5 linked regions of the Oryzias latipes genome follow. The protein of the gene in region 5 binds, or shares a complex with, the protein of the main gene of each other region. Links are inferred from orthologs where the notes say so. Each region holds a gene or a part of one and is shown on either strand. Other genes may lie near its edges.

Region 1 (6,951 bases), on a different chromosome or scaffold from region 5:
ACACGCATCCATCCGTCCATGTTCTGAAGCCACTGAATCCCTCTCAGGGTGGCCGAGTTGCTGGAGCCTATCCCCAAACCGGCTGGATGAAGGTGGGGTTCACCCTGGATGGGCTGCCAGTCTGTCACAAGGCCACACACACTCAACAAATTGGAATCTGCAATTATGAAGATTGTTTTTAGACTGTTGACGGCAGCAACTCCTCTGAGTGAGAGACACCTTCACGGCCCACTTTTCTACAGAGGGCCGTGGCAGCTGGCATGTCAACCAAGGACTGACCCACTGACCCCTTTTTTGAGAGCCACCCACACAACCTTTAAGAGCTTGATTCTCTCTTTTTTTTATATAGTTTTTGTCATAACTTTTAAAGCATGATATTAGTGCAGCAGTTGATAAAATAAATGACAAATGTCCTGTGATGAATCAAGTATTATCTTGTCTTCAAATAGTCCAGCCCGTATGGCACTGGCCTGTCAAAAATGTAACGCTTGTTTTCTTGCTGGACTTGTGTTTTAGTTGTGTGACGTTTCACAAATGAAGCCAAAACTGATCAAAATACGCAATAAATAAAAATGACTTTCCATAGAATGAAACTGTTCCTTACAATATTTTACTTCTGGGTCAAAAAGTCTTTGCAAAGCTTTTGAACATTAATTATTTATTGAATATAAAACAAGAAATGACCAGTTTATAAGTTAAATGATCAAATAAAGACTGAACATGTGAGGCGGGAATAAAACAGAAGAAGTCTGTTTGATATAGTTAAAAACAATTATTCTGTGTTCTCTGAACAGAGCCGCATTCAGAAAGTTATTTGTACATTTGACAAATTCTTTCATCCGAGGTGGACCCCCCCCCCCCCCAGGTCCTCTCCTCCTCCCCTTTGCTGGTGGTGCTAAAACAAGAGAAAGCTGTAAGCTATAACCTGGTTTTCATTGAAATACTTTGATTGACATCTCAGCTCAAACGAGCAGTGACTTTACACTCTATGAGCAGAAGTGTTGTGTTGGGATCATCTCACACCCCTGAAGGTTCAGCAGCAGAAGATGAGCAGCCAAAGCAGGAGGTTGCAGGGGTCAGGGGTCACTTACGCAGCCAAATGTGTCTGTCAATAGCAGGGCGAGGCTGGAGCCCAGCCAGGACAGGGAGCTCATGAGCGCCCTTCCACATATTCCAGCTACAGAGCAAGAATGAGTCTGTAATACAACACAGTTGCATGTTGCTGTTGACGAATACAAATATGTCATTGATCTGCCAGTTTGGAAAAAGATAGTGCAAAGATATATATTCTATATGTGGATAAACACCTGCTGCCTCCTACAGACCTGCTGCTGCTTCCACGACGCTTCAGGTTCATGTCCTGCTTCCTCCTATGTCTGTGATCCAGATTTCCACTCCTCTACTGAGTGGAGACGAAGGGTCCAAAGGGGAGAGAACTGCAGGGGACCTCCACCTGAGGAAGACCTCCACCTGAAGAAGACCTCCACCTGAGGAAGGCCTCCACCTGAAGAAGACCTCCACCTGAGGAAGACCTCCTCCTGAAGAAGACCTCAACATGAGGAAGACCTCCACCTGAGGGATACCTCCTCCTGAAGAAGACCTCCACCTGAGGAAGACCTCCACCTGAGGAAAACCTCAACATGAGGAAGACCTCCACCTGAGGAAGACCTCCACCTGAGGAAAACCTCAACATGAGGAAGACCTCCACCTGAAGAAGACCTCAACATGAGGAAAACCTTAACATGAGGAAGACCTCCACCTCTGTCTCCTTTCCCCCCTCCTTCTCAAATATGTGGCCTTCAGACTCTGTCATATTTTTTGAATAAACATCATTTTGCTCCAGCGCGCTGAAACTATGTTTTAGTCCTTTATTGTTAATGTTATGACTTGTTTTTGTGGAGTTGACTCGTTTCCATCCTAAAGGACCGGGGCGCAGCAGAACCCTGAAGCCTTGTCTCCAGTCTTTGGTGGGAGTGTCCCCTGGCCCCTGCGGCTCCTGCGGCTCTTGGCTCCAGCGGGGCCGGGCCGTGCGCGTCATGTGACCGGGGAGTGGCTGCGAGTCAGGAAACGGCGCAGCTCCAAGTCTCAGCGCAGGTAAAGTCCAAACGATCCCAGAAACGAACCGAACCGTTCTAGAGCAGGTTTTGGTCTCGATCCAAAATCCTACCGCGGGTTTCGGAGCGCTTCACTTTCTGAGGACAAACGGCGAGATGTCCCGAACCGGGCTGGGGGCGGGTGGGGGGGCAGTTGTGTAGAGACCGGTAGTTTCATGAGCTAAACGTCACGTTGACGCTTAAAGTTCGGGGTTTTATAAACAGAAACTCCGGGAGAGAGCAGCCGTCACGGAAGGACACAGACCGTGGTGTTCCGAGAAAGTCCTCTGATTTCCGCATTTGCGGCTGCTGGAAAGACTGCAGCCCCACCGACCGACCGCTGCAGGCGGCAGGCTGCCCCGTAACGCACGGCGGAGGGGGTCTTGACGGGGTCCTAAAAACGCGTCATCATAGCAGACGCTGGAGCGCCGCTGGTCCCGGAAACGCGCGTGAGCAACTGCCTGACCCGCGTCAACGCCCCCCCCCCCCCCCCCCAACTGGCCCCCGATCAGAGCAGACTGGGCATGAGCCCACGTTGGTCCAGCATGGATGGGGGTCAGGGGTCAGCTGGGCTGGTGTTTGCTGCAGCAGCTCTTTGGTTCTGACCTTCAGCGTTTCAGAGTTTCAGGATTTGTTCTGAGAGGAAAAGCAACTTTCCTTCTTTGTGTTTTCACTGCCTCCATCACTCAAAGCTGTGAGGAAGTTTCCATCATCTCCATTTGTTATCAAAACGTTGGTTTGACCTCAGACTGTTGATGCTTATGTCAGACAAACGCTGATGATGGTGTAGTTTTCCCTCCTGATCCTGTTGGTACAGAGTAAGCCCACCTTCACTTCCCGTCATCCATAGCTTTAGCGGCACCACAAGAATGCTGCTCAATATTGGAGCTGTCCATGGATCTATTTGTCTGCAGGTGGGGGCATCAGAATGGAGCAGGGCAGGGACACTTTGGCCTGGCCAGAGTATTTTCTACATCACTAGTCTTCATCACAGTCTTTTTTTGTCTGCTCCTGATTGACAACAGTTTTGGGTTTGGGTTTTGCCAGCACCCGTCCTGCTAGTTAAAAACCTACTCCAATGAAAATGGTGTTTGTGGTGTTTTTACATGTTCTTGTAGCATTTTCTAATGATGGAGGACATACATATATATAGAAAATCAAGCTTAAAACTGCATTTCTGAGTATTTCTTTCTTCAAATCGTTGTGAATCAGGAGCAGAAGAAAAAATGCTGTTTGAAAAACCTCTTAGTTGTTACGTAAACTACAATCAGCAGGTCACCAGCTCCCTGCTCTGCTCTATTCTGATCTGTCAGACAAACAGATCCGTGAACGTCTTTGTCTTCCTGGTCTGACCTGGAATCTGGATCAGAACTGGACGGATGATAGATCTGATGTTGATCACCATTTTTGTTGCATCACTAATATTAGCTTGAGGTTGTGAGGGGCTGTAAGCTAGCAGGGGAGAGTTGTAAAAAGATGGATGACGGGAAGGGGGGGTGTTGTGCTTTTCGCCAACAGTCCCGCCCACACCTTAGAGGGGAATTTCTAATGAATTACTCCCAGTCCGCAGAAACTATGTCCTAGAAAACGACAACGTTTTCTGATTTAGTCTAAAAACAGCAGAATCGTAGTGAAAAGACCGCTGGGAACACTTTGACAATAGATCATAAGATGATGGTTGGGGGACTTTAAAGGTTAAACATGCAGTTTGTATGAAAGCAAGACATAAATGTGTCTTTCTGTGTGAACTCAGCTCTCATCATGGCCTACCAGGCTGGGATTCAACGGGAGCCCGCCGCTTTGGTTCAGAACATCAGCTCCAACATCCAGAGGATCACACTACTGAGTAATGCACACACACACACACACACACACACCCACACAGACCTGTGCACATGCTGAACCCCACTGGACCCCCAGCATCCTCACTCATGGATCTGTGTTCCAGCCTCAGAGCTGCAGAGGGCCGTGACCCTGCTGGGGACGGAGCAGGACAGCAGCCAGCTCAGACAGACGCTGTGAGTTCTGACCGCCTGCTTGATCACACATGCAGCCAAATGAGTTCAAACCGACAGCCGGCCTGTCTGTGGACGGTCACCATGCACACACACACATACGTTTCCCTTGTTCCTTCAGTCAGTTCATTTGTAAAGACTCCTGAATGGCAGGAAGCAGACTGTCTTTATTATTTTAGCATCTAATTCATTCATCAAAACAGAAAGATAACTTTAAAAAGATGTTCTAAACACATACATGTTCATATACACACATTGGAGATGCAGGTTGTTACTAAAGTAAGTTCTATTCTTATAACAGTGTTTTACTTGAATGGGATCATTTGTCCCTGTTTTAAAACAGTTCCATTCAGTGGGTTTAAGGTTCAAAAAGTAGTTTTCAACCTTTAGAATAGTTTTTTTTTACTCTGTACTCAGCTAGCTCCTGAAACCCGAGCATTTTCCACGTCAGGAGTAATGGATTTGTAAGATTTCTGTTTCCTCGAGTGAAACGTTTCACAGATGCTTCCCTCTGGTTCTCAGTCAGCAGAAACAGCAGCAGGGGAACCAGCTGGCCAAGGAGACCGACCAGCTGATCAAGGCCTTCACCGCCCTCCCCGTCGGTCCCGATCAGGTACGAGGCCCCTTCGTCCCACGCACCGATCACATCGAACCCGGTCAGGAGTTTGTGGGAATTGATCAGCTGTGTTTGTGTTTTCAGAGGCAGAGGAAGCTGCAGAAGGAGCGTTTGCTCAATGACTTCTCTGCTGCGTTGAACAGTTTCCAGAAGACCCAACGGCAGGCCGCCGACAAGGAGCGGGAGTTCGTGGCCCGAGTCCGAGCTGGCTCCAGGCTGTCGGTTCGTATTCGCCTTCGTCATTTCTGGGAGTGCTGTGAGCGAGAGCTTTCCGTGCACGCTCACCTCATACTCACACGTTCCACAACCAGGACCATCCGGGTTCTTTCTGAACAACACTGCCATGGTTTCCCGGTTTCAGCTGTTCTGGGCCATAATGTACCATCTGCTCAGAGTTTGGCTGAACGTTCAGACGTAGACAGGTTATTCAGATGAAACCCTCCAGCTGAGGAAATGAGAAAAGCTTCTTCCAGTGACAGTGTGTCTGGGTTTATAGGCGTGTTCAGGATGGAGTGGGTGAGTGTGAGCGCTGTGAGGAAATGTTTCAGATGGTCAGGTGAGCAGATGCACCTGTCCCAGCCTGTTCCAGACCCAGCATGAGCCTTCCGCTGGTTGGGGGGCAGATCTCTTTATGTTGATTCATTGATGGTTGTGGTTCTTGCTGGCATTCAAACATCTCCATAAAGTAAGAACAGGCATTGTCCTTGTTGTGGATACGGTCCTCACAGAAACAGGAACTTCTCAGTAGTTTCGCGGCTGGACTTAGAGGTTCAGGTCCTCCACAGCTGAAGATGTTTTAAGTTGCCTGTAAATTGTCTCGAGCAGGGAGGTCAGCCTGATGACGGCTTCGGACATCTTCCTCCAAGGTGAGCTGGCTGTCTATGAAGGTTCTTCTCCTCGCCTCTGTCGTGGCTGCACTATTGAAGCCATGTGGTGTGCTTGTATCTGCAGTTACTCCCAGGTCCAGACGGAGGCTGAAGCCATCACAGAAGAAGACCTGAGGCTGATCCAGGAGCGAGAGTCATCCATCAGGCAGCTGGAGGTCAGCAGCCCCCTGTGTTTGTGGTGAGGGTCATTCTAAAGCTCCTGCTCATCTCTCTGTGCTCTCTAGGCGGACATCACAGACATCAATGACATCTTTAAGGACCTTGGCATGATGGTGCACGAGCAGGGGGACATGATAGGTGAGCGCCAGCTACCTTCAGTTCCACATGCAGCTGCATCGAGGCACATCTCCCCCTCCGTCCAGAGGAGCGCGCTGGGCTTTGCTCATTGCAGTTTTGTTAATTGCAGCCATGTTTCCACCTCGTTGTCAGGGAGAAAGACTTTCTCCTGATCCTCCAAATGTTATAAATGCACAGCTCACAGCGGCCACACAGGTCAGATCAGCTGCTGGTGGGAAAGCATGGAGATGATAAAGTCTACCCATTTTAAAGAATCACACACACATCGATTGAGACAACAGAAAAGCTGGTTTGTTGTCCAGTCCAACTTCTGCTGAAGTCTTGCTTTACAGAAGAAAATGAACCTCTGCTTTGTTTGTTTTACAGACAGTATAGAAGCCAATGTGGAGAGTGCAGACGTGCACGTCCAGAATGCCACGCAGCAGCTGGCCCGGGCCGCAGACTACCAGGTAAAGGCGGAGCTTCTGTGCAGCGGACCGCACAGAAAAGGAAAGGAGACTCCTCACGTTCAGCGTTTTTCATGACGCTTTCTTCCTCTGTCTACAGCGGAGCTCCAGGAAGAAGATCTGCATCCTGCTGGTGGTTCTGGCCATCGCCGCTGTTGTGATAGGACTCATCATCTGGGGAGCAACCAAACAGTGACAGCCTCTTCTGCTGACTCATTGTTCTGCACTGAGCAGAAGTTCTCTTCTCTGACCTGTCCTGAGTCTTTGATTAAATTGTGTTTTTGAGAAATAATGCTCCGTGCTGACAGGACCGGACACACTGTGCTGCCAAACTCGTGCAGAAATAATGCTGACTCATGGTTTGTCTTAAGTGTAAAGGCTTTGTCAGGATGGCAGAGTTGAACTGTGAAGCAGCGGGGAAACTCTGAATCTGAAGGAGCTTCCAGCTGCAGCCGCCTGCTGTTATCAGCACAGAAATGCTGACTCAGCGGCAGCCAGTCTGCAAATAAACAGGAGTGAGGGTCATAGTTCAGTGTCACTGTAAATCCAGCACGTTTGAGCAACTTTGAATTACACTCTGAAACATGATAACAATGA
Region 2 (4,931 bases), on a different chromosome or scaffold from region 5:
TTAACCTTTAATTTCTTTTTTTCATACTGTTTTTACATTTATTTGAAATGAACAGTGTGATTATGGTTACATGGTTTGCATGCAGCTTTAAGTTTAGTTTTCTATTTTAAATTTCTTTTTGTTCTTTTCATTCATTTGAAATAAAAGAAAAAAATGTTTTATTGTTTTTTCCCCTCTTTTTTATTTTTATTTTTTACAGCAAACAATACCAAAAAAAAGAAAAGCAAAGAACAACAAAACAAACAAATACCCTGCAGATTTTACAATTAAATGTTCAAGTAGAGGTTGACTTGTCTATAGAAATAATCCATTAATGGTTGCCATGTCTCAGGTGTAATTTCTTTTTTAACTGAAGAGTTAATAATTCCATTTTTCTTGAACCTTGTCGGCGTTTCTATAGTCGTTTCAGACGCTAAAATCCATCTTTTTGATCAAATGGACTTGGATTTTCTCTCACAGTTGCAGGGCATGGAGGACGAGCTCCGTGCGGCGCCGGCGTCCTACAGAAACGCCATGAGCACCAAGCTGCGTCTGTACCGCAGAGACATCGGCAAACTGCAGAGGGACATGAAAACCTTTGCTCCCGGCTTCGGCCCCGCCCCCCTGACGTCTCACGGCGACCGCCAGGGCCTCTATTCACCCGAGAACCAGCAGAGTGTGAGTGTGGACCTTCACGCCTCACAGGTGTTCTGGAAACCTCCTGACTTCCTGTTTGTCCCTGGGGGGTGCAGACACACCTGCAGTCGCAGAGGTCGCTGCTGCTTCAGGGGACGGACTACCTGAACAACGCCACGCAGAGCATCGAGCGCAGCCAGCGCATCGCCGTGGAGACGGAGCAGATCGGTACAGACATCATCGAAGAGCTGGGGGGGCAGAGGGAGCAGCTGGACCGAACCAGAGACAGAGTGAGGCCGCCGCCTCCTCCTCCTTTCCTCCTCCTCCTTTCCTCCTCCTCCTTTCCTTCTCCTCCTTTCCTTCTCCTCCTCCTCTTTGTCCTCCTGCTCCTTTCCTCCTCCTCCTTTCCTTCTCCTCCTCCTCTTTGTCCTCCTCTTCTTCCTCCTCCTCGTGTTCCTCCTCCTCCTTTCCTCCTCCTCCTCCTTTCCTCCTTCTCCTTCTCTTCCTCTTCCTCCTCCTCTTCCTCTTCCTCCTCCTCCTCCTCCTCCTCCTCCTCCTTTCCTCCTCCTCCTTTCCTTCTCCTCCTTTCCTTCTCCTCCTCCTCTTTGTCCTCCTCCTCCTCGTGTTCCTCCTCCTCCTTTCCTCCTCCTCCTCCTTTCCTCCTCCTCCTCCTTTCCTCCTTCTCCTCCTCCTTCTCTTCTTCCTCCTCCTCGTGTTCCTCCTCCTCCTTTCCTCCTCCTCCTCCTTTCCTCCTTCTCCTTCTCTTCCTCCTCCTCTTCCTCTTCCTCTTCCTCTTCCTCCTCCTCCTCCTCCTCCTCCTCCTCCTCCTTTCCTTCTCCCGCGTCACTCGTTTCGTTTCTTCCTCTGTTCAGTTGGTGAACACGGGAGAGAACCTGAGTCGAAGTAGGAAAGTTCTGCGGGCCATGTCTCGGCGGTAAGCTCACCCACCACTCGGGTTGATTCAAAGGGTCACGTGTCAGTCAAAAGGGCCACGCCCCCTTTGTGCCCAGCATTTATGTACAGTACTTTAAAAAAACATAAAAGCACATAAACATGAACACAGTCAAGAGTTGGAGAACAGGAAGAAGAACAGGCTTTGGATCCAGACTATAAAAAGTCTCCCTCAGACAGCCCTCAGGTGTGGAAGCACACCTGAACGTCTGAGAACGAGGGCGTGTTCACTCTCAGCGGAGCGAGGACAATCGTTTTATTGAAGCAGAGTATTATGGGTAAAGCAAGAACTGCTCATAACACAAGAAGGTCACGCGTGGTAGAGTGTCCGCCCCGGGAATGTCAACAGCTGTAGAAGTTTATGGGATTTTGGCGTCTTAGAGGCCGCGGGCACTTCCTGTTTGGAACGCCAGGGAGGAGGAGTCACTTAGACCAGTTCGCATATACAATAATCAAATAAACGCTTAAATCCACCGATGATGAGGAGGGTCTTCCTCTCTGTCCTGCAGGCTCATGACAAACAAGCTGCTCCTGGCTGTCATCATTCTAATGGAGCTCGCCATCCTGGGCGCCGTGATCTACCTGAAGTTCTTCCGGAAGTGAGGGAGCGTCTGGAGAGGAGGAGCTTCTGCCCTGTAGCAATAATCCTGTTGGTGTGAGCGAGTCCGCTCTGAGACCAGGCCCTTCCTGAAGACGTCTGACTAGAGAAGCACCTCCTTTGACCTCACAGAAGCTCCTCAGAGGGACGTTTGCTCTTGCCAGGGGTTTTCTGAAGGTCACGGGGTCAAAGGTTTCGAGGTCAAGAAATTTCTCTGTTTGGCTTTGAAGGCCTGAGATGAAGCCAGAACGCTCACAGTAGTAGAAATAACCCTGAGAAGTATTTCTGACCTCTTACACATGTGGCCAAATTTTCTTTTGCTCTAAATGTAAAACGAGGACCTAATCTATACGGTATGCCATTTCCTTTACCTACACATAAATAACACCACTTCCTGTTCAGTGCTTAGTTGGCTCCATTAAAGCTAACCTGCTACTCATCTGTTTGGTGTTATATCTAAAGAACGTTGCTGTGGAAAAACCAGAATATTCCTCCTCAAAAGATGTGGAAAAATCAACTGTTGCAGTTCCTCAATTGACCACTAGAGGCTGTTCCCCAAAGGAAGATATTTCCAATTTAGATGGCCTATATCCTGCTTTTCTGAAGCTTTTCTGTGTAAACTACATCCATGTGACAATAAATGACCTTTGGCACACTAAAGAACACGTATTTTAATGAAATATTCATTCTACCTGGAAATAAGACTCGATCTTGGAGGCTCCGCCTTTCGCTCCGTGTGGGTGGCGCTCAGGTTTTTAGAAGAATACTCAGAAATGCGTGAAAGGATCAAAATAACCGCTTTGGGGTTTTCTGTGAGGAAAAACATCGTAAAACACTTAAAAGTGGATTTTACAGGATAAAGGCCCTTTAAAAAGACTAACTTTACAACCATTATTTCTGCCTTTTATCATTAAGATGCACTGCAGGAGTTAGGAAATGAATGTAGAACACGTTATTTCTCGTCACTTTTGGCCTCTTGGAGCATCTCATTGAAAAACCAACATCTTGCTGTCAAAGCCCTGAATGAGCAGATTCCATCTCTTCTCTCCGTTTTTTATGTGTTCTTTTTCCAGCAGGCCCTTGTCCTCCTGACTGACGCTGGTCATTCCTTCCCGCTGTCGCCTTCTGCATTTTCAGCTGGAAGTTTGGTTTTTTAAAAGGATCATTTCCTCCTTAATCTTTTCTCTAGGCCGCTTTAGCTGGAACAGATTCAGTTGAAGCAACATTTTTTTGTTTGCTGCGTAATCTTCTGAATTTATTGATGCTCAAAATGTTTGCTTATCATAGATATTAACTTATTTTCTCATAGTAAATGATGCTAAAGTGCTTCTAAACTGATCCTTAGCTGGATTTTAAGGAAGTATGTGGACCATTCCCATCAGTGACGATCCTCTGAGTCTCATTCTAGCAGCAAACTGAAAGGGAAAAAGAGAGACGAGTGCAAACAAACAAAAATGAAATCACATTTATGGAAGACCAAAGTAGAGGCTCTTTGTAACACGATTATCAGTCGCCATAAAACAGACAAACGAGCGTTAAAGCAGCACTATTCGTGACCAGATGATTTCTAAAGCGCCTTTTTTAGTAAATAAAACGTAACGAAAACCGTAACCACACATGGTCCAGAAGAGTGTTCTGAGAAACGGCGCTGCTATTAAAGTCCACTTTTCATCATATGAATCTTTTTGATGCCCTGCAGATCAGTCCCACACGTGACACACGCTTCGTAACACGCTAACAAATAAATAAGAATGGCCTCTTTTAGAGCAGCAGCGGCCTCAAAAGGTGCAGTGGTTTTTTAAATTATTCAGTCTCTCTTTGCAGCACAAACATCTCGTGGATTCATGGATTCACTGGACCTCCAGAACAACAGTGTAGACAGGAGAAGCGTGGAATGGTCAGGATTCGATCCAAGGTTCTGGGTTTGCTTCATAGGCAGAGCTGCTCCGTGTCGCTTTTCACGGCGGGGATCACGCTGATGGAGGCGTGAGCGCCCTCCCTCGTCTGTCCCAGCGACGACGCGATGACGTCCACGGCTAAAGAGGCGGTGGCTTCCACTGCCTCGCTGCTGGCGCCCAGGGTGGGGTTCACCTCCACCATGTCGATGGCCGACAGCAGACCTGCGCGTCCATGAGATGAAAGGTGAGGCGCCGGACAGAAAACAGAGGCACTGATGGGCGGAGCTCCAGGATCCGTACCTGTGTTGTGGATCTCCTCTGTGATGTAGATTCCTTCTCTGTAAGTGAGGCCTCCGTTCACCGGCGTTCCCGTGGCGGGGGCCAGAGACGGGTCAAAGGCGTCGATGTCAAAGCTCAGGTGGATGGGTCGCTGTTTCCTGCAGAGGAAGGTGAGAACAGCGTCTTCATCCCTGCTGTCGCCATCTAAGAACCTTTTTCTCCTCCCAGCCAATCAGATTTGTAGAAGTCTATGACATCACAGACTAACAGCCATTGGCTATAAGAGAACTGGGGTGAGAGAGTGTGACGTCATCCATAGGAAATGGTTTACCAATCACATGAGGTCAAATCAGGCGCCATTTTTTTCAAAATACGGACGCCGCCATGTTGGAGCCGGACGTCGTCGCTGCTTGTGTCCGAATTCCCACCCTAACCCCTACATAGTGCACTATATAGCACGTTCTGCATGTTCTAGTGCTGTCCCAATCTACAATTCCAAAATCCAGTGCCCTAGAAATTTCCCAGAAGCCTCTGCAAAAAACCAGTGTGAATGGATGCTCACTGGATCCTGGAAAGATCTGATACATTTT
Region 3 (6,957 bases), on a different chromosome or scaffold from region 5:
TCTATGCTAAGCATTTCCCCCCCCCCAAACAATAAAAGGGCTTTAGCAACAGAAATCCTCTTTTCAGGTTTTTATTTTAGTTTGGCTGAGTGAAAGAGTCAGACGGACACCAACAATAACACACAGTTGTTTATCCAACTGACTTTTTTCTCACATTAGAAAATCTTAGGATACTTTTTGTATCAGTTAAATGAAACATGTTCAAAGGTGTTGGTTTGTAATAATGGTGTTTCTATTTTCTCCAAATTTCTTTATATTTTTAAAATTCAGATGTTTTTCTTTGAGGGAGGCTGGAGTCAGATACCATCAAGATGGCAAAAGTTTCTGAGCATGTCTTTCAATCCAAACCATTTGTGAGGAAATCAAAATAAACTAAGTAAAGAGAGATGAAATCATAAAGTCAAGGCAGTTATGGATTTTATTTAAAGTCAAGGATCCATTATGATCTATAAACCTTGAGAAGATTCTAAAATAAGAGTCAGCAGAGGGATCTTTGTTCTAATATTTCCTTGGATTTCTTTTTTTTTTATACAAACACTGCATTTCCCAACCCATTAATTGAAGTTTTCTGATCAAAAAAGGTCAGGATGTTACAGTTGCAGTTAAAGCTGTTTGTCTGGGAAGATGATTTTGCCTGTTAATCCTAAAACTTTACAAACTTCTTTCTAAGGTGCAAGAAATCCACGAGGGGTTGCAGAACTTAAAGAGGATGGTGTCAGAGCTGGAGAACAAACAGAAGACGGTGCTGGGCGTGGCGCTGCCAGAGGAGAGTACGTCAACTTTATGAATTTGATAAATTCGTGTTGCATTTTGTAACAGAGGATCAGTGTAGTTGCACTTTAGGATTAGAACGACGTTTCTCCAGATTTTTCACAGGGATCCCACCAGAGTAAGGCGGGGCTAGTTGGGGGCGCCTTTCCAATCAGATTTTTAGGCTCAATGAGGGCACCAAATATGTTACAGATTAGTTTTCTCTATTGGATCGCAGTGAACATGTTTTTCTTTGTCGTCTTCTTCCAAAATGCAATTAAGGGAGCTCCTTTCATGAGGGTGTCTGATGCTTCTCTGCTGATCAATCAACTCCTGATTTAGTGATTTTTCTCAGTGGCAGATACTTTAGCACACAAAGGTGGTCAAAAATGAAAGGAATATAATAATAAAAAACAATTTTTTAAAAACATTTTTATGAATATCTCCTTGTACTTTGGTTTGTTTTGGGCCAAACACATGGCAGGAGCCCACAACTTGTTTGTACCGTCCAAAATGTCTCTGCTGGAGCTGTGAAAGAAATAAGAAATACAAACATAAATTCCTCCCTTCTCTCTGTCTTTAAATCCTAACGTTTACTCACAGTATCAAGACAAAAATAAATCATAAAAAAGAGGACAATTATTTTGACATTTTCAACACACCCTTCTTCTTTCTCTTCTCCTTTTTTGTTGTTTCTTTTTTTTTTGTGGTAAATGTGTTGAACTGATGCAGCTAACTTTAGTGGTATTTCGTAGATTTCCACACATCTTACAAAAAAAATGTCATCCTGAGACTCCAGTTGCATTCAATTTCTGACGTTGTGTGTTTTATTTCGACCACGGCGTGCTGCTCAGAAAACTCTCAAACTGAGGATCTGTGCTCATGAATGCTGTTTTCCTCTCGGGTTAGGTATGAAGAAAGAGCTTCAAACTCTTCGAGAAGAGATCAAAATATTAGCGAGCCAGATCCAGAGGAAGCTGAAAAGTGAGTATTTGGGAGTTCAAATCAAGAATTTTGTCTTCAAACCACTTAAGTTTCTTCTCGTCTCAACTGAGGTATTGAATCCAAAAAGTCGGACGATGATGGCAAATATATTCCCATAAATGTCCGGATGCAGCGCACTCAGGTAGCATCTTTACATATTTAAACAATAATTTTATCTATTTGACAGAATAGGCTTAAATGCAGAAATTTAGACTGTTGCATCCTCCTTGCTGCTTGTGTGAAATAAATTGGTCTGTTTTTCCCAGCATGCCATACTTTCCAAGGAGTTTGTGGAGCTAATGGGCCACTGCAACACCATCCAGGCCAAGTACAGAGATCGCAACGTGGAGAGAATACAGAGGCAGCTTAAAATAAGTGAGCTTTCTTGTCCCAGGCCGTCTGTTGGTGTTCAGGGACGTCGAAGTATTTCCTCACCTGTGCTTTTGTGAACATGTGACTCACTGTTTGATTGGTTCTGTCTCCAGCCGGCACAAACGTGACAGAAGAGGAACTGGACACGATGCTTCAAAACGGCCAAACGGATGTTTTCACTCAAAATGTGAGTAGATGTGCGAGAGGTGTCGTCATGGAAACGCTGCAGCTGTTTTCCATCACTCAGAAACATGTCATGATAGGTTTGCTCTCTTGTCACCTCTCGAATTGCTCTAACTGGACAGCAGATTTGGTAAGAAACAGACTTTAGTGTCACAGTAGCTGAGGCGTGAAGACCCATGCTTAGTGCAGCCTTCCTCAGAGGGATGTTAGCCCAAACACCCAGCTCGGTTGGGTTCTTTCCTTTACTTATTGGACCTTTTTGTGGCTCACAGATTTTAAATGATGCAAAAGCTACTAAACAAGCCCTAAATGAGATCGAGTCGCGGCACGATGAGATCCTGAAGCTGGAGCGGAGCGTCAGAGACCTGCACGACATGTTCCAGTACCTCGCCATGGAGGTGGAGGCTCAGGTATCACAAACACCAACAGACCTTCAGGCTGGTTCCATCCGATATAGGTTTCCATCATGGCGTTTTTGTGTCTTCCAGGGAGAGATGGTCAACAGAATCGAAGAGAACATCAAGCAGTCGTCCGACTACGTGGAGAGCGCAGCGAAAAACACGCAACAGGCCGTCACATATCAGAACAAAGCTCGCAAGGTAGGTGTAAATCATGGAGCATTTTGAACCCAGTGCAAAACAGGAAGCTGAATTTTTCTGACTTCCTGTTTCAAAACAAATAAATCCTCGATATTCTGACATTCACAGAGTTTCTTAATTTGTTTAAAACTTTGACATTTTGGGTTAATCAAAGGTATAAAAAAACTGAAAATACAGAGTTGGTGACAGAAATGAGTTATGACCCAAATTTTGCTTTAACTTAGACTAAAGTTTGATAACTAATATATTCATTTTTTTATCCTGGCATGGTTGAGAAGGTACACTAAATGACTTGACATATGGTCTGGCCTCACCTGTTGCACTCAATCAGTCCCTACAAAGCATCACTTCAAAGAGCCTAACCGGCACACACCTGATCGGTGCTTCATGCACAAAAGTTTCTGACTGTCCACCCCATAAAATGAGTTTTATTTGTAAAAAAGCATGTGATAGAGTCAGATTTGGTATGAATCCAATTTGGGAGAGATCCTGTTTGGGCCTCGCTAGATTTGTTGAAAACACAAATAGAAATGCTTTTGAAATTTTATTTTTTTAAAGAACTTTGCAGTTCTCCTTTTTTTTTTTTTTAAATCTCACTTTCACAATTGTGTGCAAAGGTTTCAATTTTAGAGAGCGGATCAAACGTCTCATTCTTTGCTTTTGACAAACCAAAACACTGAGTCTCCAGACTCATCCTAAAATTTAAACCCCCACTCCAATCATCTTTTGATTCGTTTAGTCTTTTAATTAGGATTATGCTGTTTTTAGCCAAATTATTTAAAAGAAAAGTCATTTTCTAGGACATGGGGTCTGCAGAGCAGCAGTAGTTTATCAATGTAGTCCCTTTTTCATTCAAAAATCAAAACATTCTAAAGTATCTTTAGTCAGACTGAAGCATAAATATGTAGTCATGGGGACTTGGGAGAGTGGCAGAGGTTTTAAAATGTTTCTATCAGTTTTTTCTGCCTTCATTTGGTTTAAAACCTGAACTAATCAGAAGTCCTCGTATTTTCAGATCAACAGTTTTTAACCCTGTTATAACAGTTCACATTCAAAAAGCCATGTTTTAAAGTTTGGTGGGATGTCATCACCAGCTAATTAGATCAGTGGTTCCGTCTCCAAACGCTTTACATTCTGCAGGTGTTTATAAAAATTGAGAATTAACTTCAAAGGCGATGGATAAAAATGTCTTTTTACATTTTCAGTTGCACAGACGGCTGCAGAAGAGCTCAGTTTCTGAAAGCAGCTGTTATGTGAATCATTTATTCCACTTTGGTAGGATGTTGTGGAGAGATTTAGCTCAATTTGTGGTCCTTCAGATACTTAATTTAATTTAAAAAATGCTATTGCAAATTTACCAGAAGTGTATAGTTCTTCTTTTAAGAGCTTCAACTATTTAAGGTTAGCTTTTATTTTTGATCCCTGATTTCATGCAAATATTTTGTGTATATCTGATTTTGTTTTTTTTTGTAATACCAACCTGTTTGATACCGTTTCTTCTTTTTACTGCAGAAAAAACTTTGGATCGCAATCTGCTGTGCCATCCTCCTCCTCATTATTGTCATCGCCGTCGTGTCCACGTTCACATAGTAAAAGCGGACGCTGACACTGCCTGCAGCATGTTGGATACATAGAATATAAATTATCTATACATTTTTTGTGTGTAAGAGGAGTCCACACAGGTGAATTTAGTCACTGAACATTTTTGTTTTCTATTCCTCACCTTCCAAGTCATTTTTCTGTAATGAAGCGTTTTTTTTTTGGGTCAGATTTTCAGTTATGTTTGCATTTTCATTTCTGTTTAAGGAAGGAGTCTCTTCCTGCAAAACTAACATACCGTTCCTGATTTCTTCTGTTTAACCCCCATTTTTCACAGAAAGACAGAAAGTGAGCTTAAAAAATGCAGTTGCAGTATTGATCTCAGGAAATCTGTTCACTTTTGTTACGCTTCCACTGTGAAACTGTAAAAATCAGTTTAACAGGTTTTTATAAACGGAAAACAGACTAATATTGTAAATAACAGATTGTGATCATACAGAGATTTTTTTTTATCTTGAGCATTTGGACTTCCAAGTGTAAATAGGGAAAAGTAAATCCCTTAGCACCAACGAGGCCAACCCCAGTTTGTATTTATTAAAACATTCTAAGCTGCTACTAAAATGAGTTGTTTCATAACTAAGCCTTAACTTTTCAGAACTGTGCCTTCTCCATGCTGTCTACTTAAGAATGTGATGCTGAGCACCAACACTGTCAAGAAGGGATGGATTTTTGATCTGTTGTAGCCTCTTAATAAAGATTCGGCACAGCTTTCTTTGCCAAACCCTTCTGAGGGTTTCTGTGACCTCCTGACACTCAGACGACCTGCTGAGAGACAAAATGACAACATCTAGCTCCAGGTTAGCTGAAGGAGACAACTTTCCCACTGTTCAGCTGTTAAAGCATTGTAATATTTGGTTTTTTAAATAAAATACTCTGCCTTTACTTTGTCATTGTCAGCTTTTTTTTCTTTATAAACATCTAAACGGTTTTAATTTATGCATGAAGTTGAGTCGTGGCATCTGGGCTTAAAAATCTACTTTCATGACATGAAAAAGTCTCCAGGAAGTGAGACTGAAGTCTTTTCCTTTAAACGTTCTGACCACACATGTACCAGAAATACAGCGACAAACCTTTAACACCAAACCGTCACTAATTTTTGGTCTTTTTATTCAACTGTAATTGTCTTAGTTTTCAAGTAAAACAATGTGGAATTACAAGGGATCAAAGGAATGCGGCAAAAGAAATCAGAAGACCATCACCAGAACTACCCATTACCCCCACCCCCCCCACCCCCCCAGGTAATAATCACCTTTGCTCAAAATTAAATCGACAATTACAGTCATCTGGAACTGCACCAGTAAATTTATTCACATTTTATTCATGTAATGTGATTTCTTTTCCTTTTATACATGACCCAAGAGCGATGAATGGCAAACTGTTTGGTGGAAAATCAGACAATTAGGATAGCACTGATGCTAGGGGGGGCTTTCAAGAGGTGTGGGGGGGGCTTGAGTTTCTTTGAATGAACTCGTCACCCCAGTGCCGTGTGCTTCACAAGGCAATTCAAGGTTGAAAACCATTTTGGCCGAAGAGGCACTTCTTTTTGCCCTTTCAAAATAAATGCATGAAGTGGATTGCAGCGATAACTTGTTGTAAAGATAGGATATTCAAAAAAATACATTTTCCAAACAGTTGAGATACACTGAGTTACCAGGAACCAATTAACTGACTTTAGTTGATGTACAAACATGTCACTACACCACAATGTGTTCAAAGGCTGAGGGCCTTTTCTTTATTTTTACTATTTTTTTTCTTCTTTTTTTTTTTTGAGTGTGCAAATGAAAAATGCAAGGCTGGATTTTCAAAGAACACAAATGACTTGATGAAGGGGCCCAAGCAAAGACGAGCTCCAGCATAGTACAGCCACACTGACAGGCCTGTTTTTTCTCTTCCTAATACCAGGAAAGAAACATTAAAATATGCATAACTTATCAACTGACTACAAAGAAACAGCTGACCAAACCTTTCACCCATCCTCAAAAAATCAACCGTCCTAAAACCTCCAGACTCTCGATTCAGCTGGTCGCTGGAACTCCAATAGAGGGAATCGAATAAATCTGTCTGAATACACAGAGTTCCAGTCTAATGATTACAGTACATGTATTAACCCGCTTGTTACCTCTTGCGCCTGGTGGTGAATTCATCCACTGCACCACCTACAACTGTTCATGGTTGCACTACACTGCTTGTCAGTCCAGCATCCCTGAGCCTCCACCCCCCCAAACATTCAAAGCTGATGAAGGCCCAAGAGGTAGGAGGTCCTGGCCCATGCAGCACTTCTTCCCATCGTTTCCTCAGAGAGTGGAGGCAAAGCAGCAACCAGAGTTATGCTCTCCTATCGTGCTTTGCGACACTCTTGCGTGCGCTCTTCTTTTTCTTGTCTTGTTTTCCTTTGCCCACTTCACGTCTTGCTGCTGCGCTGTTGACCAGAGGAGGAGCGAGTGCTTGCAGCTGGTGAGCGCGCCTGCAC
Region 4 (6,982 bases), on a different chromosome or scaffold from region 5:
GATCTTTGTTTTCCTTCTATAATCCTGGATTATTTTTCTCGGAAGGTTTGAACTTTAAAAGTTTAAACAAAAGAGAAAAGTGTGAAAATGTTCATGTCTCTCTGAAAAGAGTGTAGAAAGTGTGTAGTGAGGAGTTTTACAGCCTTAAAACATCTGTATTCCTACTTTGCAGATGTGACCTATCCCGGGTTATTTTTAGAACACAACACTTGTAATAAACCAAGTAAACTGCAAATTCTAAATAAAAACTGGGATGTATAGCAACAATTGTCTGTTTTGAAACAGCTTCGATCATTTTAAGAAAAAAACAGTTTTCAGATAAAAACAGCTAAAAAAAAAACTCCACCTAACATCTTTGTACAGATGGATGAGATTTAAAAAGAGGATTTCCCGATTACTTACCATGCCGTCCAGGTAGTCGTTCTGATCATCAACCTCTCTGTCGATGTCATACGCCAGCTGTCAGACATGCAGGAGAAAATATAACTGCAGTCATAAGATGACAGATATGTGGCAGACTTAGCAGTTTGGAGGCCCCAGGTGAACAATAACGTGGGGCCCTATGCAGCGGTTGTATTCATTTTTTTTATTTAACCCGGGACAGAAGAAAAGGACTTTGATGGATTTTTGGATGCTGATTGATGACTGAAAAAACAAAAAATAAATCACAACCAACTCAGTTTTGCTCCCGCTGCCTTTTTTTTAAAACACACACTAGCAAGCATGTTGTACCGGTGTTTTAACGTGCCCACGCCCTAACCCCCGGAGCGCCTTTTGTGTGTCAAATACAGGAAAAATCCCCCATAACTGAAACTGCGCCCTATAACCTAGTGGTAGTCTTTGAAACATTGACTGTAGTCATTAAAGCATAAAGTCTGCACCTGCCATTTAGATGTTCCACACTCACACATTCATAAGCTTCATTAAGTTATGCACTTTTGACATAGCCTGACAACAGAACCTGCAGGAAGCTACAGATGTGACAGAGACGTTATCAGCCATGGCGGAACAAAGAATGGACACGTCTGACTGATTAAATATACGATTAAGCCTCTAAAACTGATTGTTTGAGAAGCGTGACCTGTCCAACTTTTTCCAAAATGAGAATGCCGCAAAAAAGTTGGGGCAATTGGATGAAATTCAACACGAGAAAATGTTGTGGGATTTGGTTAAACTGCCGTGAATTGGTGCAATGGCAACATTGCGAAATCCTGTAAGGTCTGACAGAAGCATAAATGTATAAACGTATTCGTCTCTCTGCTTCCATTCAAGCTACAAATAGAGAAATAAAAGTACATCATCTTCAGGAATCTGCAGAAATGTTCTAGTTTGACTCACAGATTTCAGTCTGGAGACTTTGGTGGCCAGGTTCTCAGCCAAACGTTTGTTTTTAGCATCCAGCATGTCATCCACTGAGTCATGATCTGAAAACATACAAGATGAATTAAAAGTGATTTGTTTTAGCCAAAGGTTTTACATTTAATCAGACATACACATTAAAAACTTTTGTCAATAAAGCCCAATTTAAAAGAAGCTACACGTGAATGGGTTTAAAACAGACCTCAAGTTTTGCTTTCATTCTAGCTGCACTTTTGAATGCTATGTTAAGATCTTTGATCACAGATTTACTGATGAGACTGTAGGAAGTACCATGACCTGGAGGAAACCAAAGAAAAGGTGATAGTTCACTCATGAGATATCGGCCTGCTGCTCCATCATCACTGAACACCCAAGCCAGGAATATTTAGGGGGGAATATAACTAACACCTTCATAAAAACTGGACTGAAGTGTGCCTGCAGAAAGGCTGTACTGACTGTACTGACTGTACCTGCAGTACTGCCGAGGAGCCTGTGTACTTTCAGGGAGGAGTCACTTCCGAGGACCTTTTTACTCTCTGTAATGGTACCAGCAGCCAGAAATGGTCTTTTTATTTATGATGATGATGATGATGTTTTTAGCCCAAATCTAAATAACTGTGTTGTTTTCTAGGACATAGTTCCTGCAGAGCGGTAGGAGTTCATCAGAACTTCACCTCTGAGTTGTGGGCAGAACTGTTGGTGCAGAGAAAGCCCGTCCTCATTTCCTATGATCCCTGTGATTACATTCTCTACTGCTAGCGTACAGCCGCTCAGAACCCCAAACTAATATTAGCAGTGCAACAAAAATGGTGAGCAATATCAGAGCTATCTGGTGTAGGTACCGTAACCGTTCGCCTGCAATAACCGTTCGGGGGCCTTTCGACTGAGGATACGGTAAATTACATTACACTTAAAAAATTTACTTGGCATGTATATATATTGCTAATACACATTAAGATTATAGTTAGAAAGCATAATTGGTTAAATATAAATGATAAAATATACATTTCTTGAGAGCACTAAAATTTGAATTTCTTTTTCTTTTCTCAAGGTTAGAAAGAATGTGACAGACTGTGCATTGACAGAGGATGACATTTCAAGCGCTGAAGAGATGGTTAAAGCACTTAAACCAATGCTTGTGGAAAAGAATCCAACCATTTCAATGATTGCTCCTCTTCATGCCAAACTGCTGTACAACTCAACTAGCACTGAAGAAGATTCTCCTCTGGTTCGAGAGATCAAGACCTTTCAAAGAGATATCAGTCTGAGGTGGAAAAAGATCTCCTACGCATGTCCTCAGCCCTAGACCCTAGATTTAAATCTCTTTTGTTTCTGCAAGACACGTCTGCAAAACTGAAGTCAAAAGCAGCTTTAAAGGAAGGGGATCCAGTGTCTTGTGATGACCTACAGGAGGATTTGGAGGATGAGGAGCCGCCACATTCCAGCAGCGACACCAGCACCACCAAGAAAAGAAAGTCTGCACGAGTAGATCTTCTGGGTCAAACCTTCAAGAAGACCTCTTATGCCTCTACAGCAGCAGCCTCGCAGAAAAAGAGGTCAAACAATATCAAGACGCCTCTTCTCTGCCTCTCACTGAAGATCCACTGCTGTGGTGGAAATCTCAACAGCATGTGTTCCCTCTGCTCTCCAAACTGGCCCATATGCATCTGTGGATTCCAGGGACTAGTGTGGTAGCGGTTATGGTACCTACACCACCTACAGCTTAGATCCAGAGTCCAGCTCAGAGAAGGAAAACAAAGACAGAAGATGGATCCATTTGACTGACAGGGGATGAATCAGAATGGAGCGGAGCAGGAAGCTTGTGGCTCGCCGATTGTAGCTCCTACGTCACAACTACAAGTTTTTTCAAACTGCAATTTTCCGTCTGTTCCAGATTAACAATAGTTTGAATAAAGAAACTCAGAAATGCAATTTTAAGCTTACTTACTTTTCTCCATAATGAGAAACAATGGCACAAGAACAAGTTAAAAACACAATTTTCATGGGAGTGGGTCTTTAAATACTGAGCAGAAACTCGAATGAGAACCAGAACCACAGAATTTCAGGTTAAACCAAAGTTACCGACGGACATGAGAGATTGTAATGTCATTTCCGACCATAGTATTACTAATTACACGGATTCCGAAAAAAAGGAAATTTGTTTATCTAAATAGGAACCAAAAGATGAAAAAATAGAGTGAAACTTGAACATTTATTTGAAAAAAAATCCCTCAGAACTTAAGGTGGTTTTATGTAAATAAACGAATTTGTTGACAGCTCAAAGTTAGTTCACTTCATGATAGCTACACTGACTTGTCAACAGCTAACTAAACTACTGTTAGCTCAGAGTCAGACGCTCCACATTTCCGGTCGTAATCTAATCCGACTTTATTTCGCTTTAAATACTCCCTCCGATCTACGGGACTCGTCTTATCCTGATTAAAACACCGAAGATGAACAAATATTAAAAAGTGAATACGTGTTCGGTTTCCTACCTCTGTCCCAGCTCGCCATCTTGCTTTGTGACGTCACAGTCAGCTGCCCGGAACACGTGACTACGACACGTTATCAGTTCTGATCCTGAAGGAAACGGAACAGGTTGAAATGAAAGTTTAATCCAGAACCGCATAATTTATTAATGTTCTCTGCTTTCATCGGGATGAAAAACACAATTTATATAATTTCTTAAGATTCATTTTTTGTTTCTTTCTTACGCTCTATAGAACAATTCAAAGTTCCTTTAGTAAAAATTACTTGAAGTTTTTGTTACTTGAGTATGAGTATTGCAAGTGTACTGTAGACCATGTACATGTAGTGTAAGAAGTATACTAACTGAGTCCTTCTGAAGAAATGTGAACATTTTAAGTCTACAATGCATGGATATAAAAGTTTAAAGTATACTGCCTACCTTTTAGTGTAGACTAAGTATACTTGTAGTACACTTAAATACACTACTTTTTGCGAAGAGTTTGCTCTGGTAAATAACTATTTTATTTTCTATTGCGAGAAGGTAACAAATTAAAACTATAGACTCTAAAGTGAATTTTAGTCAAATCTAGGTCACAAGGAAGGAATAGTTATTTTAAAAAAGAAGTATTTGATTAAAAAAAAGATTTCTAAACACATCACTCTTGAACTGTTTACGCTTAAGCTAAGGCCCTTGTTTCTATTGATTAAATCTGTTCTTTTTTTAATTTAATTTGCTATGTTTCGTTTTAAATTGACTGCATTCTTCAGTTCTTGAATAACATTTTTGTTTACAAATCACACTTTTGAAAAACAATGAGCAGAAATACCTCGTTCACACCTTTTTAATCAAGCTTGTGCTTTTTCCTAATTGAAGTGTTTTGTGTTGTTGTGTTTACAGTATTGACAAAATGTCTTGGGTCTGGATGACCCTTGTTTTCTGGAAACTGTTCTGCTCTGGAACTCTCCTGTATGAATGAGAGTCCTCACAGAAATCATGTGTCAGCGGCTCAGCCGTGCTGGTTGTGTTCTTTGGGTATTGGCTTCATTGACCCGGCAATCCTCTCTCCACATATAGGGAGGGGGATCCTTGAGATTTCTAGCATCATCTGAGCCTGGTGGTGTTTGTGTCCCTGGTTCTGGTTCTGGTCCGTGCATTCTTGCTATGTAACTCCTCATCATCATCAACACCAGAGAGCCTGGTCGGTCCATGCTAACCATTTTTCGCAGGGATCCTTGTCTCTCGCTGGAGCCCTCTTCCTGCCTGGATCTGTGCTGGACTCCCCACAGGGCAGGGAGGTAGTTGGCTAGGCTGTGACATGAGTGTTTCTTGGGGGATGCAGACGCCTGGGTGTTGGTGGACGCCTGATCTGCGGCTGTGGGAACTCTCAGGTGGGTGTGACCTTGCGCTGGACCTTGTGCTACCTCTGGACTGGGTGGCTGGTGCCGTTTGTCTAGGGGGGCAGACCCCTTCGATCTGCTTCTCTGTGTGGGTGTCTGGGGGGTCACGTCTGCCCCTGCTGCCTTGCCAGGGAGTTGGTGTCCGGGTGATCGATAATGTCTGAATGTGAGGTTGAAATAGAGCAAAAATCTGAGATACTTAAACAAGCAAAAGTGGCATTCCTTCATTCGTAGCATGTTTTTTTTCCTGGAAAATTAAAAAAATAAAAGTGATACATGAATGTTGGCTCAAGCTGAACAAACTGATATGTGATATGAACATATTAGGAATTGGCGTGGTTAACAAAAAAACCTCAGTTGCCAAGGAAAAAGTTTACCATTGCAGATTTTTATAAAGTGATGTAGATCTGTTCTTCACTCTCAGACAAACAAAAACTACAATGGTTCTTATGGAGACTACAGTAAACCCTTCTGTTTGGAAAAAAAATGTTTTTCTCATGAATTTGTCACATGTTGACCAGTCTGGCAGAGGAATGTGAAGGGCTCAAAGCATCTCCTAGGCCAGTGAGGGCAGGTAAAAAGGGGGTAGTAGGGGGTGTGAGGGTGGAGGCAGGTTACGCCTGCGCCCTCATCGGCCAGATTACTTGTGTTTTTCGGACTAAGCGTTAGACAGGTCTGTTTTTAACTAGCTTTGCAGTTTGTCTTAAGAGGAACTGTGAGGTTTGTAGCTTTGGTCTAATCATCTCTGCCCTGTGTTAACTGCACAGCATCATCGGCATACGTCACAATGTAAGGATGATGTGGGAGGTCAGTGATGTACAACCAGAACAGCAGGGGCCTGAGCTGGCATACCTTAAGACCTAATTTTATATTTTTCCAGTGGGAGACACAAGCTTTGATGCGCAGCAGCATGCATAGTGCCAAGAAGAGCAAATTACTCAAATTCAAATGATGATGTTGTGTGAGGCAAACCCAGGTGGGTAACACAAACTACTGGGCATCTGTCCCACACCCAGGTTTAATCCCTTTGGCAGCAGGCTTTGACACAGCGACTCTTCCTGCTTTTGGTGTGTTCAGAACATCATATTTATAGCGCTCACCTTTAAAAAGTGTGCAGAAAGGTCAGAGTTAGTCTTCTTTTGTGCAAACACACTCTGGTCCTGAATGTTAAAGAGTAACAGTCCTGTGTGTGTGCATGTTCAGTAATCCTCCTGTGTGCTGTAATCCACCTACCTGCGCTTGTGTTTGTGTGCGTCACGTGTTTGTGTGTTTTGTGGGTTGTGTCAGCTATGTGTGCACGCACAACAAAAGAAAACAACTTTGCCGTAAAGGCAGCCCTGATGCAAGGGTGTTTTCAGAGTTTTGTAAGTAAAGCTTGATTTGTATGTGATGCTGCTGGGATGAGGCAGAATATTTGAGGTGGCGTAAAGATGCAGCACCTGTCTTTATTGCGTCTTCCTCTCAGGTCTGCTCATCCTGACCACAGGAGCTTCAGTTGCTGCTGTTGGGTGTTGTGTGAGTATTCCCGTTCCACCTATGTGTGTGTCTCAGTAGGAGACGTGTGAGTGTTTCTCAGCAGGAGGAGCTGCAGGAGCAGCAGAAACCGTCTCCCTGTTGCTCACTGAAGCCACAGATTGTCTAATTAGATTAGGCGAGGCTTTCCTCAGATAATCATTTAGCCGGCTCTGTTTTTTCGTTGTCTTTTTTTTTTTCTTCTTCTTCTTCACCACAGAGAGGGCTGCCTATGCCCGTCAGA
Region 5 (3,959 bases):
ATCATCCTTCTGTAGACCACTATAAGTGAATCTTGAAACATTTTAGTGGGTTTGTTGCTGAAAAAAATACAATTGAGAGCCATATTCCTCCTACAACAGTGTTTACATACATTAATTTGTACTCCATGAATATTGTTTCTCTGTTTTAGTGATCTTTGAGACTATGGACGTTTAACTTTTTTATTTTAATATAAATTACAAAAAACAAAAATCAGTTGTTTAGTAGGGACTTGTGGGACTATAATATATATATTTTTAACGTTTAAGTACATTTTAGTTCACAAATCTTAAGTAAACACTGCTTGTTTTAAAATACTGCCCCCTAGTGGGGATAAAAGACATCGCAGGATTTTGACCAAGTAAACAATGACATGTAGTAACACACTAAAATATAAGCTCAGTTTTATCAAATAAAACATGATTTTGGTTTCTTTTTAAGTAATATAAATTAACAAAAAATGTTTATATACGAGTAAAAGGGATTTTCTTATGAACAGACACTTCATCTTCCACGTGAAGTCTGCAGCCGGGCGGTGGAGAAAGCTAGCATTAGCTTCTTCGATGTGTTATTATATATTTCACCTACACAAACTTTAACCAATATACAGTTAAGTATCTAAATAACTGATCAAACAAAACGACATTTTCTTATTTTACCATTTCCAGTTTGGGTTTCTTCTCGCCATCCCCGGCCATGCTTTTCACGTCGCTCGCACTGCAAAGTATGAGCTTTGTGTTTCTTCCCCTTTATTTTTGACTTACAGGCTGAAAATGAAAGTGTCGCCATGCTGTTATTATTCATTAATAACTGAACCCGCTTGGTTGGACATTTATTCCGACTACAACCCTAAGAATAAATGTTTTATTTAGTCTGCCATAAAGAGATATGTCGATTTGAAGTGATGACACAAATAAATTTTGTTAAACATAGACATACAAAACATGCAATTAAGAAAAGATAAACGGATCGAACTTAAATTAGGTTGGTGATGAAGTACTACCTTTCACTGCGCTAAAAAGTAACATTCCTTAACATTTAATTTGCAAATGCATTCAATTTAGCGTGTAATCGTAGCCTTTAAGGCTAAACTGAGGGGAATTCCTAAACAGTTGCTCTTACGCATGAAAACATATGACGAAGACACATCGTCATTTGTAGTTTAGGGAAGTGTAGTTCAGAATGGTAGAAGAGCAGCATTCACTGTGAAAGAAATTGCAAAAAAGAACTACATTACCCAGCGTTGGTCAGTGTGTGCTTCCGGTCCAAAGGATCCGCAAAGCAGAAGTCACTCGAAAGGGATTAGCTAGCTTGCTAGCAGCTGACACATTATAAATGTGGGAAAATAATTAGCTCGTTTGAGTGGCGCTGACACGTTAAGGTATCGTTTTGTTTTGTTTTTTTGCAACAACGTTTAACTTACAAACAAAAACTTGAACTGACACTTTGATTAACATTTTGGTCTTTTCGTTGACGCCACCACTGTTCCGTGTTTATTTCAACATTACTTACTACGCTAGCTTGCTGCCGAATCAGTCTTTGTTTTTCCCAATGATTTATACCACAATAACACGCATAGGGATGTTGGGTGTAATCGTTTTTAGTATTTTTTTGTCTACAATACACAATTTTTTTCCTTTTCTTTCTAACTCATCTTAACGGAATTCCGGTGGGAGGGAGGGAAGGCGGGTGGGGGCATTTTTGTTTTACCTGAGCTCCACCTACCAAAAAACAACAACAACAAAAAGCTTATTCCTTTCCTTGTTTATTTGACAGAAAACTAACGTAGCGGAGAACCCAGCTGTGTTACCATGGCAATCCTGTTTGCTGTGGTGGCTCGTGGAACCACGATTTTGGCCAAACATGCTTGGTGCGGGGGCAACTTCCTGGAAGTCACAGAACAAATTTTAGCCAAAATCCCCTCAGAGAATAACAAACTGACCTACAGCCACGGCAGGTACGGTCCAGTTTGCTCCTTCATCTCAATAATTGTCATTATTTTGCCCACAATCAGGGCTAGTTTCTGGGAACGTGTAACTGATGGTGTTTCTATTTTGTTTTCAGTTACCTCTTTCATTACATCTGCCATGACAGAATCATATACTTGTGCATCACTGATGATGTGAGTATCTTTGGACTTTTTATTTTGTTTTGATGTTCAGCAATAGTTGGGAAGGATGTGACACTGGCACAAAGCTTTAAATACGTGTAGTTGCATTTATCGTGATTGAATGTTTTCTGTTAAAGGACTTTGAAAGATCTCGTGCATTTACCTTTCTTGGCGAAGTCAAGAAGCGCTTCCAGACGACGTATGGCTCCAGAGCTCAAACCGCCCTTCCCTACGCCATGAACAGTGAATTCTCCTCAACGCTGGCGGCTCAGATGGTGGGTTGAGCGTGACAGATTTCCTTAGAATGCCATATGACTTTTTTTAGAAGAAGAAAAAGACTTTTGCTTTAGTCATAACCAGAAAAGCAAACTTCTTCTATTTTTTTTCCTATTTCTTTTGGTTTTAGTTTCGTTTTTCCCCCAGAGTAGTTAAAAACGTCCTTTTTCTTTAAAAAAAACCCTTTTCATGTCAATTTCAGCTTTGTATAGTCAACATATTGACAAATGGGTTTCAACTTCCTTCTCTACAATCGTGGCATGTACAAAAAGATCAGCAGATGGTCACATGACCACTCTGGCATTTTAAGTACGTTTTAAAGTCAACCTTTGTCTGCTGCATTTGAATCTGTATCATTTGAATTATATCTGAACATTTTCCTGACCTGTGCAGCATAGAGATACAATTATCTGTCTTTATTAAGAATTTTCATGGAAGTGCTGTTTTAGGGATGTTTGGTATTTGAGGACAGACAAATATCTGAACCTCTAATGTATTATTAGCAAGGGTTTTCCAGTGTTAGTGTTAAAAAAAACATTGTCCTTTATTTTCCACCAAATATCGAAGTGATATGGTCGAAGGAGTAAAAAGTTTTTTTTTGTTTTTAAAGGAAAAATGAGTGCAGATTTTCAGTGTTCCTGTGGGGTGTAGGTACCATAACCATTCGGCCTGCAATAACCGTTCGGGGTCCTTCGAAGAGTGCTGACGTCACATTATGTGATTGGATGTCTGTTGGTCCGATCACGTGCAGTTTTTAAACTGTTGCAGTGAAATAGAAATGATGTTTTAGGTTGTTTTGCTCTTTGTTCATACACCACAAGTTATATCGTCATCGCAATATCAGATAGTGATTGGTCTGGATAAATTACGATACTAACATAGAAGAAGATATTATGCGGTCCGTTGTAAACATACAGAGCTCCGACACAGAGAAAGATTATCTTCTAAACGTGCTTTTGGTAATATTATGATTAGGCCTGCACAATATATCGCAAATTTATCGTTATCGCAATATCAAGCTGTGCAATATGCATATTGCAAAAGACGGCGAAGATCGCAATAAATGGTTACCTTAAGTATGCTAAAACAATCTGATGGCAGTATTTAACGAAGCAAAAATAATCCCTTTTATGTTTTTGACCAATCGGATGGAGCCCTTTTGTGTTAGATGTTCGTCTCCTATGTAGATGTTGGTCATTTGCAATGCAGTTTTTAAACTGTTGCAGTGAAATAGAAATGATGTTTTTGGTTGTTTTCCTACACCCCAAGTTACATCGTCACCGCAATATTAAGTTTTCCTCATGACATGTAGCCCTAAATATTATTATTATTAACTGCATTGCAGCTGAACAGACTGCGTTCTGAACTCTTCTCCGGACCGCACACTATAACAAAGCAGCTTCCCAGCCTGCGAACACGAAGCTACGAGACTCCAGCTGCTCTGCTCAGAGACACGGTTCACTCGTGTGGAGCAGCAGGTTCATTCTAACAGCCACAGATCTTTTTACAAAGTGGCTTGTGGCAAAATATCTCTGTAAATATTACAGAGAATAATCTCAGACACATCTTATGAGG

What was found.
Region 1: vamp7 (region 5) and stx7 share a complex: the UniProt entries of both Homo sapiens proteins name them as parts of the SNARE complex. The link is inferred for Oryzias latipes from reciprocal best matches to the Homo sapiens genes VAMP7 and STX7.
Region 2: vamp7 (region 5) and vti1b share a complex: the UniProt entries of both Homo sapiens proteins name them as parts of the SNARE complex. The link is inferred for Oryzias latipes from reciprocal best matches to the Homo sapiens genes VAMP7 and VTI1B.
Region 3: vamp7 (region 5) and syntaxin-4 share a complex: the UniProt entries of both Homo sapiens proteins name them as parts of the SNARE complex. The link is inferred for Oryzias latipes from reciprocal best matches to the Homo sapiens genes VAMP7 and STX4.
Region 4: vamp7 (region 5) and bet1l share a complex: the UniProt entries of both Homo sapiens proteins name them as parts of the SNARE complex. The link is inferred for Oryzias latipes from reciprocal best matches to the Homo sapiens genes VAMP7 and BET1L.

What each region holds. Positions count from the first base shown.
Region 1 is NC_019882.2:21,986,026-21,992,976, forward strand, and holds the start of stx7 (syntaxin-7), read left to right. Parts: upstream 1-2,627; 5' UTR 2,628-2,642; coding exon 2,643-2,787; intron 2,788-3,846; coding exon 3,847-3,939; intron 3,940-4,041; coding exon 4,042-4,111; intron 4,112-4,630; coding exon 4,631-4,721; intron 4,722-4,808; coding exon 4,809-4,946; intron 4,947-5,549; coding exon 5,550-5,590; intron 5,591-5,672; coding exon 5,673-5,766; intron 5,767-5,835; coding exon 5,836-5,908; intron 5,909-6,274; coding exon 6,275-6,357; intron 6,358-6,454; coding exon 6,455-6,550; 3' UTR 6,551-6,951. UniProt on the Homo sapiens protein: May be involved in protein trafficking from the plasma membrane to the early endosome (EE) as well as in homotypic fusion of endocytic organelles. Mediates the endocytic trafficking from early endosomes to late endosomes and lysosomes.
Region 2 is NC_019880.2:1,878,838-1,883,768, forward strand, and holds the end of vti1b (vesicle transport through interaction with t-SNAREs homolog 1B), read left to right. Parts: intron 1-459; coding exon 460-657; intron 658-731; coding exon 732-905; intron 906-1,487; coding exon 1,488-1,549; intron 1,550-2,075; coding exon 2,076-2,169; 3' UTR 2,170-2,824; downstream 2,825-4,931. Other genes in the region: arg2 (arginase-2, mitochondrial), read right to left, coding at 4,094-4,284, 4,363-4,499. UniProt on the Homo sapiens protein: V-SNARE that mediates vesicle transport pathways through interactions with t-SNAREs on the target membrane. These interactions are proposed to mediate aspects of the specificity of vesicle trafficking and to promote fusion of the lipid bilayers.
Region 3 is NC_019877.2:19,250,390-19,257,346, reverse strand, and holds the end of syntaxin-4, read left to right. Parts: intron 1-670; coding exon 671-770; intron 771-1,659; coding exon 1,660-1,734; intron 1,735-1,805; coding exon 1,806-1,876; intron 1,877-2,000; coding exon 2,001-2,109; intron 2,110-2,219; coding exon 2,220-2,293; intron 2,294-2,561; coding exon 2,562-2,699; intron 2,700-2,777; coding exon 2,778-2,888; intron 2,889-4,400; coding exon 4,401-4,478; 3' UTR 4,479-5,369; downstream 5,370-6,957. Other genes in the region: helicase SRCAP, read right to left, coding at 6,889-6,957. UniProt on the Homo sapiens protein: Plasma membrane t-SNARE that mediates docking of transport vesicles. Necessary for the translocation of SLC2A4 from intracellular vesicles to the plasma membrane.
Region 4 is NC_019864.2:3,545,733-3,552,714, reverse strand, and holds the start of bet1l (BET1-like protein), read right to left. Parts: upstream 3,945-6,982; 5' UTR 3,874-3,944; coding exon 3,855-3,873; intron 1,425-3,854; coding exon 1,339-1,424; intron 460-1,338; coding exon 403-459; intron 1-402. UniProt on the Homo sapiens protein: Vesicle SNARE required for targeting and fusion of retrograde transport vesicles with the Golgi complex. Required for the integrity of the Golgi complex.
Region 5 is NC_019868.2:26,863,141-26,867,099, reverse strand, and holds the start of vamp7 (vesicle-associated membrane protein 7), read left to right. Parts: upstream 1-1,159; 5' UTR 1,160-1,379; intron 1,380-1,774; 5' UTR 1,775-1,809; coding exon 1,810-1,955; intron 1,956-2,062; coding exon 2,063-2,120; intron 2,121-2,245; coding exon 2,246-2,383; intron 2,384-3,959. Other genes in the region: DNA-directed RNA polymerases I and III subunit RPAC2, read right to left, coding at 658-696. UniProt on the Homo sapiens protein: Involved in the targeting and/or fusion of transport vesicles to their target membrane during transport of proteins from the early endosome to the lysosome. Required for heterotypic fusion of late endosomes with lysosomes and homotypic lysosomal fusion.